2 linked regions of the Macaca mulatta genome follow. The protein of the gene in region 2 purifies or fractionates together with the protein of the main gene of each other region. This does not show direct contact. Links are inferred from orthologs where the notes say so. Each region holds a gene or a part of one and is shown on either strand. Other genes may lie near its edges.

What was found. The genes of interacting proteins can lie anywhere in the genome.
Region 1: the proteins of LIN37 (region 2) and RBL1 purify together in Homo sapiens (affinity purification with mass spectrometry; 3 studies listed by BioGRID and IntAct, with this or other methods). This does not show direct contact. The link is inferred for Macaca mulatta from reciprocal best matches to the Homo sapiens genes LIN37 and RBL1.

What each region holds. Positions count from the first base shown.
Region 1 is NC_133415.1:89,942,164-89,945,810, forward strand, and holds part of RBL1 (retinoblastoma-like protein 1), read right to left. Parts: intron 2,908-3,647; coding exon 2,774-2,907; intron 1-2,773. UniProt on the Homo sapiens protein: Key regulator of entry into cell division. Directly involved in heterochromatin formation by maintaining overall chromatin structure and, in particular, that of constitutive heterochromatin by stabilizing histone methylation.
Region 2 is NC_133424.1:46,996,053-47,000,223, reverse strand, and holds the start of LIN37 (protein lin-37 homolog), read right to left. Parts: upstream 2,903-4,171; coding exon 2,719-2,902; intron 2,664-2,718; exon of another isoform or gene 2,466-2,663; intron 1-2,465.

The DNA of each region.
Region 1 (3,647 bases), on a different chromosome or scaffold from region 2:
CCCCATTGATCTTCATTTACTTTTTATCATCTTATTTTATTTTTAGAACCAAAATTGTTTAAAAACATTTTTTTTTTAGGCTGGACATGGTGACTCACATCTGTAGTCCCAGCACTTTGGGAGGCTGAGGCAGGTGGATCACCTGAGGACAGGAGTTTGAAACCAGCCCGGCCAACATGGTGAAACCCTGTCTCTATTAAAAATACAAAAAATTAGCCAGGCGTGGTGGCAGACACCTGTAATCCCAGCTACTGGGGAAGCTGAGGCAGGAGAATCACTTGAACCTGGGAGTCAGAGGCTACGGTGAGCCGAGATCAGGCCATTGCACTCTAGCCTGGGCAACAAGAGTGAAACTCCATCTCAAAAAAAAAAAAAAAAATTTAAATTTAGCATGAACTAAAATCTATTTGCCATTCCTGGATAGGGCTTTAAACTTTGCTCCTCTTCTATTCTGGAAACCCGGAATAGCAAATAGACAATGACCACAAATAGTTTTGTCCCAGAAACAAAGAATATTATTATATTCATTAGCATGAATCTAAACTGGATCGCTAAATTTGTTTCGTTTCCTATCCAGACAAATAATTCTATATGCTTGATACTAGAGTAAGTAAAAGATGTATCTGAGACCCATTGAGTAGCTGCAAGGGGAAAAAAATTAATATACAGTAGAGAAATAGGACAACATCTTGACCAGATGATAAAAATTAACATCACCAATGAGATGAAGGTGGATAACACGTGCCATCATCAGATGTGATCTCCTTAGGACACAAAATCACTTATATAGTTTTCCATCACGGAATGAATAACCTGCATCTTATCAAAAGTTAATAGGAGACAAATCCAAAATTGGGAACCATCTATTCAAAGAGGGGATGAGGGTGGGCACAGTGGCTCATGCCTGTAATCCCAGCACTTTGGGAGGCTGAGGCGGGTGGATCACAAGGTCAGGAGTTTGAGACCAGCCTGGCCAATATGGTGAAACTCCATCTCTACCAAAAATACAAAAATTAGCTGGGTGTAGTGGCATGTGCCTATAGTCCCAGCTACTCAGGAGGCGGAGGTTGCAATGAGCTGAGATCGCACCACTGCACTCCAGCCTGGGCAACAGAGTGAGACTCTGTCCCAAAAAAAAAAAGGCTGAGGCAAGAGGATCACTTGAGGTCAGGACTTTGAGACAAGCGTGAGTAACACAGTGAGACCCTGTCTCTATAAAAAGATTTTTAAATATCAGTCAGGCATGGTGGCACATGATTGTAGTTTCAGCTACTTGGGAGGCTGAAGCAGGAGGATCATTTGAGCTGAGGAGTTTGAGGCTGCAGTGAGCTAAAAAGGTGCCACTGTACTCGAGGCCTGGGCAGAGCAAGATCCGGTCTCTAAAAAATTTTTTTTAATTAAAGAAAGGGACAAAGTGATTGTGGATAATATTCCTCCAAAATGGTAATGTCATAAAAGAAAAAGAAAGGCTGTGGAAATGTTCCTAATTAAAGAAGAATAAATACACATGATAAGCAAATGCAATACTTGATCCTTAATTAGAAATTGTACTTCCAGAAAAAAAAATGCTATAAAGAACATTATTGAATCAACTAACAAAACTAGAACAGAGATATCTGGTTAGATAAAATTATTTTATTAGTGTTAATTTTGCTGAAGTTGGTAACTGTACTGTAGTTATTTAAAGAAATACACAGTGAAGTATTTTGGGGTAAAAGGCTATAAATGTATGCTACTTAGATTGAAATGGTTGAGGAAAAAAAGAGGAAGGTCTAGCCGGAAAGGTTGGCTCACGCCTGTAATCCCAGTACTTAGGGAAGCCGAGGCAGGTGGATCACCTGAGGTTGGGAGTTCGAGACCAGCCCGACCAACATGGAGAAACCCATCTCTACTAAAAATACAAAATTAGCCAGGCGTGGTGGCACATGCCTGTAATCCCAGCTACTCGGGAGGCTGAGGCAGGAGAATCGCTTGAACCCGGGAGGCAGAGGTTACGGTGAGCCAAGATTGTACCACTGCACTCTAGCCTGGGCAACAAGAGCGAAACTCCATCTCGAAAAAAAAAAAAGAGAGAAAGAGAGACAGATCTATATATTGAAGAAAAAAAAATCAAATGAGAAAGCAAAAGGGGTAAAATGTCAATAACAGGTGACTCTGAGTCAAGGATATATGGGTATTGTCCTTTTCTTATTTTTGCAACTTTTCTGTAAGCCTAAAATTATTTCCAAATTTTAAAAAATTAATTTAAAAAAATATAGCTAAAGATTTAACACAGAGGTTTCTAGCAGAATTTGTGAAAGGCAGAGAAAGAATATGAAAATTGGGAAAGGATTATCTACGTTTTAACAAACTTAGAATTAAATGAAGTCACACAGTGGCTCACGTCTGTAATCCTATAGCACTTTGGGAGGCCAAGGTAGGCAGATCACTTGAGGTCAGGAGTTCGAGAACAGCCTGAGCAACATGGTGAAACCCCATCTCTACTAAAAAAAATACAAAAAATTAGCCGGGCTTAGTGGTGTGTGTCTGTAATCCCAGATACTTGGGAGGCTGAGGCATGAGAATCATTTGAACCCAGGAGGCAGAGATTGCAGTAAGCCAAGACTGCGCCACTGCATTCCAGCCTGGCTGGCACAGTGAGACTCTGTCTCAAAAATAAATAAATAAATAAATAAAATAAAAATTAAATGAAGTCAAATGATTTCAAAACAAGAGAAAACTGATTCTAAAATTTAGAGCTTATATAACACTTAAAAACATGAAAGAGGTTTACCTTAATTTAGCTGAACGTAGTATTCTGGTAAGTGAAACACAGTTGCCTTCCATGATACCCTTTCCAACCGTGGGAATAATGCTTTTGCGGCATGCAACGTATAATGAACATGCCAACCAGTGTGTAACTTCTCCCTGGCAAGCAAAAGACAAACAGAAAAACAGATATAATATTACGTTAAAATGCTTTAATTCTGGAAAGAAGAGATGTAGAATTATCTGGTCTCAGTTTTCCTTATGTAGATAAAGGGCCAGAGAAGTGAAGATATTTGCCCAAGGTCACAAAGCTGCTAGCTGTAGTAATGGGTATAAAACTCCTTACTCTTAGTTCTGTGCTTTTACAACTATAACATGATAAATTAATATTAATCTAAAGATAAAAGCCTGACTTGGTGGCTCATGTTTATAATCCCAGTAACTCGGGAGGCTGAAGTGGGAGTATCCCTTGAGGCCAGGAGTTCAAGACTAGCCAGGGCAATGTAGTGAGACCCTGACTCTAAAAACGAAAATAAAAAAATTAACCAGGAATGGTGGTGCTTGCCTGCAGTCCCAGCTACTTGGGTGGCTGAGATAAGAGGATCGCTTAAGCTCAGGAATGCAAGACTGCAGTGAGCTATGTTTGTGCCACTACATTCCAAGACAGGTAACTGAGCGAGATCCTGTCTCTTTAAAAAAAAAAAAAAAAAAAAGATAACTCTTTCACTTTCACCTACACTCCAAATCTAATACAGGCATATGCCACATAACATTTTGGTCAACAGTGGACCACATATACAATGGTGGTCACTTAAGATTATAATACTGGCCAGGCACGGTGGCTCATGCCTGGGAGGCTGGAGCAGGTGAATCACTTGAGGCCAGGAGTTCAAGACCAG
Region 2 (4,171 bases):
AGACGGAGTCTTGCTCTGTCACCCAGGCTGGAATGCAGTGGCATAATCTTGGCTCACTGCAACCTCCACCTCCTAGGTTCGAGCGATTCTCCTGCCTCAGCCTCCCAAGTAGCTGGGATTACAGGAGCCCGCCACCATGCCTGGCTAATTTTTGTATTTTTAGTAGAGATGGGGTCTTACCATGTTGACCAGGCTGGTCTCGAACTCCTGACCTCAGTGATCTGCTGGCCTCGGCCTCCCAAAGTGCTGGGATTACAGGCGTGAGCCACCACACCCGGCCAACAGTGGTATAATTTTAAATCTGAATTCAATCTGAATGAGCTGACATTTAAAAATTGGGAGATTTCTTTTCTTTTGAGACAGAGTCTTGCTCTGTTGCCCAGGTTGGAGTGCAGTGGCGTGATCTCGGCTCACTGCCACCTCTGCCTCCCGAGTACAAGTGATTCTCCTGCCTCAGCCTCTCAAGCAGCTGGGACTATAGGCGTGTGCCACCATGCCCAACTAATATTTGTATTTTTAGTACAGACAAGGTTTCACCATATTAACCAGGTTGGTCTCAAACTCCTGACCTCATGATCCACCCACCTCAGCCTCCCAAAGTGCTGGGATTATAGGCATGAGCCACCATGCCCGGCCAAAATTGGGAGATTTCACCTAAAACATCCTGTTTGGACTTTTTTTTTCCCCTCAGGAAATGAGATCTAGGCCCACCCTCCTGCCCAGTGAGCCTGTGGCTGCCTCCCATCATCACAGAACTTGAGGGAGTGATGATGTTATGCTGTCCTACCTTTGAGAGGTGTTTGCTCTGCCTTTCTGACTGGTGGGAGCTCTGGCTCTAGTGCTCAGAGCCAGGAGGGGATACCTGGGAACTTGCCTGACCAGTCCAGGGACTTCCTGAGAAGGTCAGGAGACACAGGGATTCAAACATAGCTCAGAGGAAAGACAGAGTGAGGGTGGGGAAGGGAGTAGCTGAGATTGCAGCAAAGCCTTGGGCGGATGCAGAGGGTACGGATCTCTCCCCAGGCCCAGCTTCTCTCCTGAACCCCCGACTTGGGCCTGAAGCCTCCCTCTCAAGGGTCGCCTCACTGTCCCCTAGTTCCTCCCTGTACCTCACCATGAATACCCCTCTCTCTCCCCTACCCCAGCCCAGCAATCCCATGACCTGTCCACTAGGCCTCCCTAGTGTCTCTCCCACCTACCTCCTCTCCACTCTATCCATGCTGGTCCAGACCTTTGCTCCCCCTGGGCTCCCACCTCAGTGTCCCCTTCTGATCCACCCTCCACAAGGCAGCCAGGGGAATCTTCCAGAAAAATAACAAACCTGACCCTGATCTTCCCCTGCTTGGAACCTTCCATTGGAACCTTCCATGACTCTACAGCACCCAGGGGTGGAGTCTGCACTCCTCAGCCTGGTACTAAGAGATGTATACCTTCCCTCACCATCATTTGTGGTCAGACCCACTTCACTTTTCTTTCTTTTTTTTTCTTTTCTTTTCTTCTTTCTTTCTTTTTCTTTCCTTCCTTCCTTTTCTTTCTTTCTCCTTTCCTTTTCCTTTCCTTTCCTTTTTCCTTCCTTTATTCTTCCTTCCTTCCCTCCCTCCCTTTTCTTTCTTTCTCTCTCTCTCTCTTCCTTCGTTTTTTGGTTTTTTCTTTGTTTGTTTGTTTGTTTTTTCAGGGTCTCAATCTATCACCCAGGCTGGAGTGCAGTGGTGTGATCTCAGCTCACTGCAACCTCCACCTCCCCGGCTCCAGCGATCTTCCTGCCTCAGCCTCCTGAGTAGCTGGGACTAGAGGCTCGTGCCACCACACCTGGCTAATTTTCTTTCTTTCTTTTTTTTTTTTTTTTGTATTTTTTATAGAGACAGGGTTTTGCCATGTTGCCCAGGCTGGTCTCAAACTCCTGACCTCAAGTGATCTGCCGGCCTCGGCCTCCCAAAGTGTTGGGATTACAGGCGTGAGCCACCGCACCTGGCCTGCCACTTTGTTTTGATAACACTTTTGCCATGGGACATCCTACATCATTTTACTATTATCTTTCTGTCTAAATTCTGCACCCCTCCCACTGCCCTTACCATGCCAGGCCTGCGATCCGGTCAGCTCTGCCCCAACCCAAAATGATCTAAGTTTCAGTTTCCCCAATGACCACAATTCCTATTTCCTAGGATTACTGGAATATAGTGACTGTGAGGATTAAGAGTGCCTGTACTTCAGGCTCACAGCAAGTATGTGTGACTGATCACTGCTGGAAATGGGGAAACTGAGGGGAAGCCAAGAAAAGAGAACTTCTCGGCCGGGCGCGGGGGCTCACGCCTGTAATCTTAGCACTTTAGGAAGCTAAGGCGGGAGGATCACTTGAGGTCAGGAGTTCGAGACCAGCCTGGGCAATATAGCGATACTCCGTCTCTACTTAAATATTTAAAAAATTTAGATTAAAAAAAAGAGAAAAGGGCCCTTCTCAGAGTTACCGGCTCAGGATTCCCCATATCTTACCACGCACCGCACTGCCTGAGCCACCACCATTCAATCTCAAAGCGACTTCAAGCGCAGACCGGGAGGGTGTGAAGGTGGCAGCCAACGCTCGCTGCCTGATACAGCGATTGTCAGGTGGGCTGCAGGGAAAAGTCGTGCAGTCCTCTTTCCGCGATACTCCCTTCTACCGGGACTCCACACCCTGTCAACCCGATGGTCCCGACAGGCCCCCGACGTCAGGGTCCTCACCTGATTTCTCCACTTTCACCTTCACGGGGAACATGGTTTGGGTCCAGGATCTGGCTAGCTGGGTCAGAGGCGCCCCAAAGGGCCTAGGGTCACAAATCAAGGCGGGAGGCGGGCGGGGACAGTTCAAAGATGAGCTTCGTGGGCCACAGCTCCTCCGCCTTTGGTTGTGTTCAGCCTGGACCATGGCCACCACCCTTCTGTGGGCGGGCCCCTTCGGCAGCAGCTTGCTCCTATTAGTTAATGCAGTCGTCAATCTTACATCCTGACCAATTGAGAGCTGCCTCTTTAGTCTCCCAGCTTTAGGTCCCACCCTCCTGGGGCTTTGCTTCCGGAAACAAACCATCGACCACCAAGCTTCCTGGGAGGTGTAGTTCCAGGTTCCCAGACCCACCCGGAGTAACAGCGCCTGCGCCGCGCGGGGCACGGTGGGAAACAAAGGATTAGGGCATCGCGAGGCTTCCCGGGACTTGTAGTGTTAGAAGGGTTGAGCAACACCAATTTAGCTCTTTACCATATTTAACCAACCGTTGGAGTCCCTTCATCCCTAAGAGGAAGACTAATGTAAAATAACGTTGGGTTCCCTTTCACTGAGCACTCTCTAGGTGACAGGTACCAGTTAATCTCTTTGCAGGTACAACTTCATTCATTTTGCAAATATTTATTAGTATGCCGGGCACTCTTCTAGGCATTGGGGACACCTTGAGGAACAGAACAGACAAAAATCCCTGCCCTAATAGGGCTTATCTTTTAAAGGATGGAAGATAAACAGTAAACAAGTAAAACATTCTAAGTGAAATGTAATAGGAGAAAGAATATAGTCTGGGCAGGGCATGGTGGCCCACACCTGTAAGTATCAGCCCTTTGGGAGGCCGAGGTGGGCAGATCACCTGCGACCAGGAGTTCGAGACCAGCCTGGCTAACATGGTGAAACCCCGTCTCTACCAAAAATACAAAAATTAGCCGGGACTGATGGCATGCCCCTGTAATTCCAGCTACTCCAGAGGCTGAGGCAGGAGAATCGCTTGAACCCGGGAGGCGTAGGTTGCAGTGAGCTGAGATCACACTTCTGCACTCCAGCCTGAGTGACAGAGCAAGACTCCATCTCGAAAAACAGACAACAACAAATCCCCAGCCCCCCACCAAAAAAAAAAAAAAAAAAAAAAAAACCCACAAAAAAAGTGTAGCCTTAAACGGACATAGGAATATCAAGGTGGTGATTGAATTTAAAATAAGATGGATGGTCAAGGAAGGATTCTCTGAGAAAGCTCTTGACTATTTTTATTTTTGCAGACAACACTTCCTTCAGAAAACGGGAAACTTGGATTTATCACACATCTTGGTCCAAATAAATCCTAGGAGGTAGCATTGTGATCTACACTTCTGATGAGAATACTGAAGCCCACAGTAGGAAAGTTATGTTTTTGAATTCACGACTACCAGTACAGGGTAACAG